Drosophila melanogaster: one gene and its partner. Changing the gene in region 1 together with any one later gene gives a genetic interaction. Each region holds a gene or a part of one and is shown on either strand. Other genes may lie near its edges.

Region 1 (6,324 bases):
GCATTTTTTTGTGCTAAATGCTAAGGAAATCAAAACACCTTCCGCTCCACAAAATATCGGGAGTCCCACCCGCAAGAAACTCAGAAACGCGAATAACAAATGTGTGGCTGCGGCTAAGCCGTTAGAAAATATCGCCTGAAAAAAAGGGCCTAAAAAATCCACTAGTCCCAAGTCAGCTGTTGTGAAATAAGGCTTTCACACCTCTTTTTTTTTTAAATGTGTCTAGACTAAATAAAAAATAAAGTTAACAAGTTATTTTTTAAGTTAAAAAATAAAAAGTACTTCACACCGAAATTTAAATGTCAGCTAGTGTGAAATATTGCTTACAAAATGTTTTGTATTTGATGTTTCTATACTAAATTAAATATGTAAATATAATTTAAATGAATCTTTTTCCACAATTTTAATTTGTTAGTAATCTTAGTTTAAATTAAAAATATCTAATATTAAAAAATATTCCATACTTGCGAAAACCAATCTAAATGGAAAATACATCTGTTTCTTCGCCGAACTACTTTAAATTTATTTAGGAAAATATTCAGCGCGTACTGTTTTTAAATGTGGGTGTTGTTCCTAGGGTAAGTTCACATAATGTAGTATGTGGCGTGTTTATGTGTGTGTTTATGTACAATTAACTGGGCTAAAGAAGGGAAACAAAATCGCGTGTCCGTTCGGTCTGCTCGCTTCGCCGTCGCACCATATAAATTGAGCACATATATTGGGTATGTATATATTGTCTCATTGAACAGGTCGTATCAAAAATAAATGGCAGAACCCAAAACGAACTCAAACCGATCAAAGTCTTCGAAATCTTCTTCCCAGAGAGGTGGTGGTATCAGTTCCAGATGACAGACTTGCACTTGCAGTTTGGACCATAGTCTACAGCATGCCGAAGCCCTTCGAGTAGTTGATGGCCTTCATCAGGCGCTCCTCCAGCTTCTCGCGGCTGCTGTACTCGGGCAGGAGGAGAACGTTGAAGCAGGTGTGCGAGGTAGGCAACCGATCGCTATCCGGACCGTGACGCGTGATTAGCAGACGCAGGCATTTCAGGCCGCCAACCGGAACACGCGCCGATCCCGTCGTGAATTCGAGCAGCTTGTGCTTGTCCTCGCTGGGCATCGCATGCACTATGCTCCAGAAGTCCTGGATGTACTGGCTCTTCTCCGTGTAGCCGCCCTCGTACACAGTGGAGTTTTCCAGTTCCACAAAGTCGAATTCCTGCCGAAGGTTTCAGAGTTCAGCAACCGAATGAATTTCGTAATTTGAATTTAGCTACTCACACGACTGCCGCAGACCAGCATTTCAATCTCCTCTGGACGGAAGAGCAGCTTCAGTGGCGATTCGTCCGTAACCATTTCGAAGCCCTTGCGGAAAGCATTGAACTGCTGTTCGATATTCGTGTTAAGCAGGAAATCACTGTACAGGTTGACAAACAGTTCCTTGTTGTGCTGCCCCACCAGTACATCCTGGCCGTTCGGCACCAGTTCGTGTTGTACCACATCACCGAAAACATCGCTATAGCTAATCTTGAAGGTCTGTTCGAATACCTCCTCCATATCCTGGCCCTGATAGTCCAGCATGGACTTCAGACTCTTGTACAGCGCCGGACTCCAGTCGCTGAGGTCTGCGAACGTGCCGCAATAGCCTATCAACTTGCGATAGACCACCATGGGGAAGTTTACGGCCAGGGTGACGTTGTTATAGATCGCCAGGCCAATAATTATACCAATCAGAGTGAATTGCGCTCCGTTCTCAAATGGTGTGGCATTGAACCTGCATATGTATATATATATATTTATATAGTTCAACTGAACAGATTTATCCCAATTGAATACCCACCACATATTGTTGGTCTCCTCTTGCTGTATAAACATTCCAAAAGCCGGGTTAAATATCTCCTCCACGATTAGCTGGAAGAACTCTTTGGATACGCCGCCTTCATCGATCCCCTGCTCGCCGACAAACTCCACCACCAACTGCTTCTTGAGATCCTTTGGATTGCTCATGGCCACCATTTCCAGCTGGGGAATTAAACGTGTATTAATTACGCCTGTTAACTAGGACACTAAAGAACCATTTGTACACACCCCAATAAGTGCGTCGTTGATGAGCTGGTCCCTTCGCACCGTCAGCTTAAGATCCGGCCGAGGATTATCTTCCTGTCCTACCTGGCCAATATTGTTGAGGATGGAGTGAAGGGAGGAGTAGCGCTCGCTATACATCCTCATTCGACTGTCATAGTACAAGGCATCCACTTTTGTTGACGGCGTGAGGATAAAGGCGTACAGCATGAACGAAAAATAGTTCGCGTGGCCGGAACCAATCTCGCTCTCCATGGCTAACGTCTTGTAGGACAGGTAGTCGTGGTGCATCTGAATGTTTTCACTGAGTGCCTCGTTGTAGAACTCCTCAAGTGGTATCAGTGGTTTCCGGCAATCGATTGCCGACACCTGCAGCTCCTTTTCAAACTGATCCTCGGCGAATTTGGGCATGTGCGGCTCCAACAAAGAGTTGTAGACGAATAGGTCGTCCTCCACTGCTGCGCTGCCAGATGCGGTCGCCGCTTCCGTTCGATCCTCCAGCGGCACCCGACACGACGGTCGCTCCAGCTCGCTAGCCAGAATGTTCGCGTAGAAGACAATCTATCACAGAAGAAGTTAACCCAACTGCATTACAAGCCATATTGCATAATAAACCTAACAAATACCTTTAAAACTTTGGTGACACTGATTATGGATTCGTTCTCGCGCATGGATTCCTCGTCCAAAAGCACCTGTAGAGTAATTTGCTGCTGGCAGGCTGCGATCAACGAATGCAGCTGATCTGAACAATGAGCAGCCCAGATCCTGGCCAGGCGCGCCTGTGCCGGCACTGGCATGGCCGACGCCGCTTGGCACAATTTTGGCAGCACCCTGTCCAGATAGTCCATGTCCACCACACTGTTATTGGCTAAAGGGTTATGAGAAAAGCTGTAACTTGAAACATTCCAGGCATACAATTGAAAAACTCACTATTGGTGGCTAGATCAAAGCAGATGACCAGACAGTGAATGACCCTCTCCCAATCCGTACGCATGTAAATCACCCAGTCAGACAGCTGAATAACGCTGCTGGTAAGCTTCTCCGTTATAGCTCGTATTTGACAGCCAAAAAGGAGACGCTGCACTCGTCGCAAACCGGGCAGATCCACCAGTGTGTCGCTGCTTTGGGATGAACACACATCATCGTCCTCTTCTTCGGGCTCCGCCTCTGATTCGACTGATTCTGCAGTAGCAGTAGCATTAGCCGCCGATTCTGATTGTTCGTCCACCTGTTGTGTACTGTCTTCGTCTTTATCGTGTTCCCCTTCCAAAGTTCGTAGCTGCTCCTTGTTTAAAGCCCCCGGTGAATTGGCCAGCAGCTCCTGGAGACTACTAGAAGCCGCTGGTTCTGCGCTGCGAATGAAGCTCTTGCCCAGTCTATCTACGCTGGAGAACACAACGCCGATTGCGTGGCAAATCCTGTCGTAACTGTCAGCCGCCCTACATTGCTCATAGAGCGCTATCAGACTGTTGGCATCCAAGCTGTGGACTGGCGCCAGGGTGGGTGTACACGGTTCCGAGTCGCCGGAGGAGTGTTCAGCGCCGGCGATATCCAGTTGCGGCACACTCTGGGTAAGATATGGACTGGATACGGGCACTACAACGGCAGCTGGCGTTGACTGCGATTGTCTGCTGGTTGTCGTGGTGGTACTGGCTGAGGTAATTGTGCTTGTCGAGCTGCCGCTGCTACTACTGCTACTGTCGTTCGGCGAAAGCATGTCCACGTCCTGGGGGCTAAAATGGGAAAAAATTTAATTGAAAGATAATTACCTATAGAAAATCTTATCGGTGCTCTGGAAACTTTGCTACCCAGTTCCATTTGTTAAGAGAATTCTCACCTGTTGGCCTCCGATGTGAACGCCTCGCAGAGCTGTGCATCCTGTGAAAAGAGCTGCAGTGCTCTGGCGGCCACCTCGTTGGGCGTCATGGGCGCCACCTTGCCGCTGGAGGCGCAATTGGCATTGCTGCAGTTGGCGTTCCCACAGCCGGATTGTAGTTGGTGGAAGTATCGCTTGATTAGGCTGCGCACCGCCGAACGCTTCATTTCGGGCGTGGCTCGCCCGCCCACCGCTCCAGCTGCAGATCCTGATGCACTGATGGGGGGCAAAGAAAATCAGATTTAATATGCCACAACGTAAGTAGCTGAAGTTATTCACCTGGAAACACCTGGCAGATGCTGATCATCCTCGCCACCCCCGCCACCGTTCATCTTCGCTGAAATCTGCGCACTTTACGCCCCCACCGCCGCCGCCCCTTTCTTTGTTTGTCGAAAGTGATTTTGCTCCACTCACAAAACGAAATGGGAGCAAAAAAAAATCGATGTTGATGTCCCTTTTTTGTGTCGCGGCTACCTAAAATTCTTATGCTGAAGCTACTCAGCCGCTGCCGTTGCCTCTGTTGCCCGCTCGTCGAGCGCTGAACGCCGACTTCCTTGCAATCTGATAGCAATCCTTTAAAGCTCGATAATTCGTCAACGTTTTGACAATTTTGACTGTAATAGCGTAAGTGTTTATGAATGAAGCAGGCAGCAACGAATATTGAAAATCATTCTAAACGATGTGCTATCGATGAACTAGTGATATCGACAGCACACCGATAGGCACATTCTTTATCGGACAGTATTGTTAGTCACTGCCGATAGACGTCCGTTGGATGTTTGCACTTTTAAACGTGATTGTGAAACTCCAAGGGATATTATGACTAATACTAATAATAATCGAACTATCGAAAAACTGGTTGCTCGCCAGTGCTGCAAAACACCGGCGGTCTTATCAGCTGTCGACGTATGAAACCAATAACACCGTGTCCGTATTATCGGATCTATCGTTCCTCGAAAAAAAAAGAAAAATAATACGCAGGAAGAAAATACTGGATTCCGTAGCCGGAGCGAATGCAATGAGTTAGTCCGACCAGCCGGAGAAACCAATCCGAGTCGCAAGATGACGGAGCAAGAGGATTTGGCCACCAGCGGAGGTGGCAATGCGACCACTGGCTCTGGAACCAATTGCCAAAACCAACTGCAGCAATGTGTGCGTGGGAATGTCACCTGGGAACTGCTGCCCGTGCACCTGCGATCGGTTCTGCACAACAATCAGCGTGACTACGAGAAGTTCGTCTTTAACTATAGTCTAAAGAATCAGCTGAGGTTCCGGGGCAACCTGGCCGCCAAGGTGTTTCGCCGGGAGCAACGCTACTACGAGCTATTGATACAGAAGAGCATCAATGGATTGGGCGCATTTCCCTACCACCTGGCCGATATCGTCACCAAGGGCTTGAGGGTGACGCCCTTCAACTACTATCTGGATGTTTTGGGTCAGCTTTTGCAAAGCGACAAAAGCTACGATACTTTGCCCAACTTTACAGCAGCCGACTGTCTGCGTGTCTTGGGCATTGGCCGCAACGAGTACCTGGCCCTTATTAGCGATATGAAAACTCACACACCGCGCTCCTTGATCTTCGGGTCGCGGCCCAATCCGCTGGACTTCCTGCCACGCTTTCCGGTGCGCATACACATCGAGCCCTGGTGGCGACTGGACATTGGCTATGTCCTGGAAGCGGATATTCGCTATCTGTCGCCCGCTGAAAGAGGCCTGCTCGATGACTTGATTGACTTTGGAGCCCAGCCGGCTGGGAAATGCGATCACGACGTGGTGCACAGCCTGTACCGGAAGGGTTTGATCTACTTAGATGTGCCCATTAGCGGGGAGGACAGGATATCCATACCGCCGCTGCGCAACTTTGTGATGAATCGTGTGAGCGGGGACTACTTTGAGAATCTGCTGTACAAGATCTTCGTTAGCGCGGATGAGCACATGACCATTGCCGAGTTGGCACAGATGCTGCAACTGGAACTGGATAGCGTTAAGCAGGCCATATCGTTTATCTGCCGTCTGGGTTTCGCACATCGCAAAGAAGATCTGGTCAATCAGACGAATCATTCCAGCTGGGAGGGATACAACCAGCAGCAAACGCCAGATACGCCGCAGATCACACCGCTGAACTACAATTTGCATACCAGTAGCAGCTTCGAATTCGACCAAAGTCCCAAATCGCCAAAGACACCCAAGGAAAGGGAGAAGGACAAGGATAAGGACAGCAGTTCCATAGGCTACCTCTCCTCGGATGGCAACACGAGTGACTTCAGCTTTGCCAACCTGAATACGACACCCCAGGAGAGAGTGAACAACAGCGATGAGCAGGAACTGAGTTCCGAGCTGGAGCAAGAGGATATGTGTGCCCCAAAG
Region 2 (5,730 bases), on another chromosome or scaffold:
ATGTAAACTAAACCAGCCTGTGCTATTCCCAACTGATTTATTCGACCCTAAGCAGCGGTGGAAGGTTTTAATGTGCTTTACATTCCTTGTGGTTTGTACTTTTTTACAAACCCACCAAAATCTATTTCTCAGGACATATATATGTATATACATATATAAAGAATAACCTTCAACTCCATGCCATAAACAAGAAAAGTGCTCGCGATAAACCACGAATACTTTGCATGCAAATAAGATTCCGAATATATGCAGAGAATAATCAAATTTGGCCAGCTGGAGAGACTAGCTACTTTCAATTGAAGCCCCACATGTGGGATGCAGGGTTTCCCGCACAAAATGAGGACACTTCTAAGTGGGGTTAATGCTTTATTGATCGGCGTTATGTGCCAAAAAGCTGCACCCATCCAACCATTCCCTCACATAATGGTCTCCTCCTCCAGCATGTACTCCGTGAGATCGGCTTCGCCCGACAGCATGGTCACCGGCACCCGGTTCATCTGGGCCACCCGTTGACTGGGCCAGACCATCACGTCGCAACAGTTGGTCAACACGACCACATTGGTGCTCGGCGTGTTGGTGCACATCAGGTTGCCGGCCTTCTCCTGGTCGCACTTGTTGAACTTGCGCCGGAAACGGAACTTCACGGGCAACGAGTTGCCCATCACGCTCTCTTCATCGAAGTACGGCGGCAGGGATTTGTTGAAAGCCGGATTTGTGATGGCCGGCTTGGTTAGCTGATAGATGAGTGGAGTAACATCTAAATCACTGAAGCACATTGAATGTACAGATCACTCACCTCTTCGAGAACCACGGAGGTCTTGAGTCGGCGACAGGGATCACAGTAGTCGGAGGCCAATGTGTTCTCCGGTGTCTTGGTAGCACATGGATCCGGCTTGGGTTCGGGCACATTGGATCCCAAACCACTACCATGTGGCCCACTGTCACTGTCACGTTTACCCTTCGGATTCATGGGATCCTGGCCGCGCAATACGCATTCCTGCAGGAACTCTTCCTCGATGTCGATCAGTTTCTTGATGGCACAGTCCCGCTTCAGGAAGTTCTTGATCACGGACAGATTGCGGGGCACGGCGCCGATAACGTCGAAGTCATCGCTACGGAGCTGGAGGCGGTGCGCCATGACTTTGGTTCTCCAAGATGAATGGAGGGGCGGATGGTTGGAAGGGGGTTCGAATTTGGGGGAGTAGCTCGTTTCGAGTGGAATGTTTAAATGAACTACAACTTGACGTCTGGCCCCAAGTTGAGTGGGTTTCAAGGATATGCAAACAATAGTTGAGATTAAGTTGGCGCCAAGGATAAAGTGCACGTTTGAGGGCAAAAGCTTGGTACACTCTATTTAATAATATATATTAAGGGTAAACGCTACACTTATCCCAATAAGGTAGCTTTACTTTCCTAACAAGTAAATTGACCTACCACCCAAAGCTAGTTTTTAACATTTGATGGCACTATTTTCGTGGCTAGTGCTGTAGTTCTATCGCCTCCTGGCCGAGCAACAAGTTCGTGCGCGGTTTTACAGCCACTGGATGCCAAACCGTGGGCCTGCGCTCAGCTCGGTTTAGTTCCGCTCACTTAATCTCCGGCAAGCGAAACTCGGAGCAGAGCTTGCCCGTTGGATGGTCTGTTGGCTATTGATTGGAGCTTTCCGCCGCTCAAAGCTCCGCTCGAGAGGTTCTTATTGCCACCGCTGGCCACAGCAGCCACCAGAAGAGCAGAGCCACCCGAAGCGCCAACACGCGAAGACAAAGTCCGGCAGACAGCAGCGCAAAAAGAGACAGATAGCAGTGAGAAAATCATCGAGGAAAAAAGATTGTGTGCTAGCCGTCAAATTGAGTTCCATTCGAGTGGCAAACAAACCTGAGTAGCCGCACCGCCATGAGCTTTACCCGCCAACTGTCCGAGATGAGTGCCAGCGAGCTGAACGATGCCATCGACGACACCAACTTCCCGCAGGCCCACATCCTTTCGCGCGGACGCAACAACAGCGTCTGCTCAACAAGTAGCACCTCGGGCACCTCCTCGCTGGCGGACAGGCAGCAGAACCAGGCGGAGGAGGCCACTGCCATTGCGGGCACACCCGTCGAGGAGGTGGCGCCAGCTCCTGCTCTCGTCCCGTTGGCCGGCAACCAGAGACCCCGCCTCATCCTGAAGACCAACGGCAGCAGTCCGGATAGTGATGGTACACAACCGAAAACACCACTGACACCGCGTACATCGACAACGCCAGGTAGTGGTGGGTAGTGGTCCAGGACCAGGTCAGGGGATCCAGAGCTATGTTTGCTGCGACCGATTTAGTTAGTCAATGAACTAGGAGGAGGAGGAGTGCTTGACAAACTCTTTTTGAGCATAAACCGTACGCCTATCAGTGGGTTAGTGTTTCGGTTCAGAGGTCAGAAGATGCGCCTCGGAATGGGGAATAGTACTTAGACAGCCACACACAGCCAACGAAGGGGGGCAATGCCTTCCTATCTCGCATGATAACGATTCTCATCATGTTTCCATCCGTATTTCCATTTACAGGCCACGAGAAGTGCACGTTCCACCACGACCTGGAGCTGGACCACAAGCCGCCGACGCGAGAGGCCCTCCTTCCGGACATGGCACGCTCGTATCGTCTACTCTTGGGCGGCCTGGGCGAGAATCCCGATCGCCAGGGACTGATCAAGACGCCGGAGCGGGCAGCCAAGGCCATGCTGTACTTCACCAAGGGCTACGACCAGAGTCTCGAGGGTAAGCACACCACACATTTCAAGCAATTAGCACCGGGTCAGTGATCGAAGTTGCTCATCCTGGTTTTCCCAGCGAGTGGGAACTAGTTTCATGTCGGTGAATCACCATTTACGGGGGTTCCTCGGTCCGCTATGGTGCATTAGCCTAATTACCTGACCACTCGAGAGATAAAGCACATGAACATAGGGAGCCATTAGGCAATTTCGGGCTTGTCCAATCAAGTGGACGCATCCAAAATCCATTCAATATCCTATGAAATATGAGATTTGACTAGTAAAGTTTTTGGTCTCATGTTTGGCGTGCATTTCGACTTGCAGTCGCTTTTGAACTTGTCATGTAATCAATGTGAGTCGTTTGAGAAACAAAACAGAATTGCGAATTATATGGTTGCTACACCAGCATACCTAACCGGTTGCCCGAGAAATCAGGTTCTACGGTTTGTCAAATAAAATCGCATGTAAATTTAAGATCAACAGCAACAGCAGCAGGCCATTTGAAAGCTAAATTCGTTGAACGAAAGTGAATAGCCTTCGGCATCGGCAATAGAATGGGTTGGATTGTGTTTAACCCGAATTCAAAGAACCCAAGAAGCCGAGCCAACGTGACTTGCCAATCTGGTGTTGGGGGAACTCCACCCCCCTCCCCACCACACACACAAGATGCTTGTTGGATTGTTTGTTAGATGGCTCACTGGCTACTTGGCTACTTCTTGGCTTCTTCGCTGGTTGGTCAGGAAACGCACTGAAGCTTTCCGGTCTGTATATTAAGAGCGGTAAAGTGGGTGGGTGTGCGGTGCGGCGGCGGCTTCTATTCAAGGAATGGGAATCTCAAGAGCACATCGTTTAAAACGAGTGTGGCGAAAGCTCACACTCCACAAGAACCATAAGCCCATCCAGTCAAGTCAAGTCAAGTCAACCTCCCCCCAAGACCCGCAACCTCACACACGCACACACACACACAAACACTCGCTAAGCAACCACTTTAGCACTCACAGTCGCTTGAACTTAACATTCAGTATTCAGTTATGCAGCAAATAAATCTAACACGAATTACGCGCGCCATAAATCACGGGTAGCGAAGGAACGCCACTTGAGTAGCTTCGTGGTTGTGGGACATTGGGCGAACTTTTCAATAACGACTCCGTGGCGCAACGGTAGCGCGTCCGACTCCAGATCGGAAGGTTGCGTGTTCAAATCACGTCGGGGTCAGGCGATGATGAATTCCTTTTTCGTACTTTTTTTTTACTACACCATTTCAAATTTTTTTTAATAGATGTTCTCAATGGCGCCGTTTTCGACGAGGATCATGACGAAATGGTGGTGGTCAAGGATATTGAAATGTTCTCCATGTGCGAGCATCATCTGGTGCCCTTCTACGGCAAAGTTTCCATCGGTTATTTGCCGTGCAACAAGATTCTCGGACTCAGTAAATTGGCACGGTAAGATAAACTTAGTAATGCATATTAGATGATCTTTCATATAATTTGCGATCCCATAGCATTGTCGAAATATTTTCGCGTCGCCTGCAAGTCCAGGAGCGCTTAACTAAGCAGATCGCAGTGGCCGTGACTCAGGCCGTGCAACCCGCTGGAGTAGCAGTGGTCGTAGAGGGAGTGTAAGTATTAAATATATATACATATATATTTTAAAGAATATTATAGTTTAACGAATGGCTTTCCTCCTATACAGCCACATGTGCATGGTGATGCGTGGCGTGCAGAAGATCAACAGCAAAACTGTTACCTCAACTATGCTGGGCGTGTTCCGAGACGATCCCAAGACCCGTGAGGAATTCCTGAACTTAGTCAATAGCAAATAGAGTGGGCACTAGAGGACGCTACTGAAATCCGAGACCAACTAAACCCCTACAATATTTTTGGAGGCGCTTATATACAAACAAACAAAAATGAAACGAAACACAGGGTCCATTAGTTTATGTTTTTAGGATTGATTTCATTTAGTTAGTGCAATGATTGCGCAGCCATTTTCCTTGTTGATTTGTGTAAAAATTGTTGAAAAATTTTGTTAGCAAAATACGTTTTTTAGATAGATGAATGTAATGAGAAGCGAGATTCGAAGAGGACGAGATTTGAATACCGGTGTTGGGTAGTTTTATGTTCAATTTTATATGCAGTTTTATGGCACTTGAACGATAATTTTTACAACGTATACATACGATTAATGCATTGTGCAATAAGGGAACAACTGATAATAAATCACGGCAAATTGTTTAGGGAATTTACAATTTATAAACAGTTCACATCAAATTAATCAGATCTATAGTTATGTATGTATGTTAACCTATATAAAGAGTTGCATTCATAATGTTCCTCGACAGGGACCAAAGTATATTGGAAGATTTTAAATGTTAAAATTATATGCTCATTATGTAAATGACGTTGCTTGTAGTGAGTCAAAGCTGCTTATTAATTATACAATAAATTATGTATTTAAATAACGTTAAAATGAAGGATTTTTTATAAAATGTATAAAAAAAGAAATATCCCAAAAACAACAGGAGCTTTCTCGAATGACCCCGACGTGATTTGAACACGCAACCTTCCGATCTGGAGTCGGACGCGCTACCGTTGCGCCACGGAGTCTACTGAAATGGAGGCTACTAAGTGACAGGAATCCCCCAACACCAACAGGTTGTTGGTTCCAGTCGTGTAGTATCCATCATAGTGCTTTGTTTGAAATGCAGCAAGAGCATCGGTGGTTCAGTGGTAGAATGCTCGCCTGCCACGCGGGCGGCCCGGGTTCGATTCCCGGCCGATGCATAATTTTTTTTTAAATTTATTTCGTATATAACGAATCAAAAAAAAAAAAAAAAAACAGTGTAAAATATGATTCAAAGAAATAAATATAAATATTTTTTATTCAACTTCTTAGTTTGATAAATATATAATCTATTACTTGCAAATCCTACTGTGTACCTTTCGTTTGGACCCAAAATTATTGGATAACAATTTCACAATAATTT

The links.
Region 2: of Ube3a (region 1) and Pu, changing one enhances a phenotype caused by changing the other (phenotypic enhancement), as found in Drosophila melanogaster (one study listed by BioGRID).

The regions. Positions count from the first base shown.
Region 1 is NT_037436.4:11,205,918-11,212,241, forward strand, and holds Ube3a (ubiquitin protein ligase E3A), read right to left. Parts: upstream 4,667-6,324; 5' UTR 4,290-4,666; coding exon 4,237-4,289; intron 4,174-4,236; coding exon 3,919-4,173; intron 3,815-3,918; coding exon 3,012-3,814; intron 2,950-3,011; coding exon 2,708-2,949; intron 2,643-2,707; coding exon 2,088-2,642; intron 2,022-2,087; coding exon 1,840-2,021; intron 1,774-1,839; coding exon 1,281-1,773; intron 1,219-1,280; coding exon 880-1,218; 3' UTR 505-879; downstream 1-504. Other genes in the region: CG7600 (uncharacterized protein), read left to right, coding at 5,020-6,324.
Region 2 is NT_033778.4:21,177,400-21,183,129, forward strand, and holds Pu (punch), read left to right. Parts: upstream 1-1,718; 5' UTR 1,719-1,893; coding exon 1,894-2,245; intron 2,246-2,538; coding exon 2,539-2,748; intron 2,749-3,884; exon of another isoform or gene 3,885-3,956; intron 3,957-4,020; coding exon 4,021-4,186; intron 4,187-4,245; coding exon 4,246-4,362; intron 4,363-4,436; coding exon 4,437-4,566; 3' UTR 4,567-5,209; downstream 5,210-5,730. Other genes in the region: CG4286 (uncharacterized protein), read right to left, coding at 417-734, 797-1,138. UniProt on the Drosophila melanogaster protein: Isoform B is required for eye pigment production, Isoform C may be required for normal embryonic development and segment pattern formation.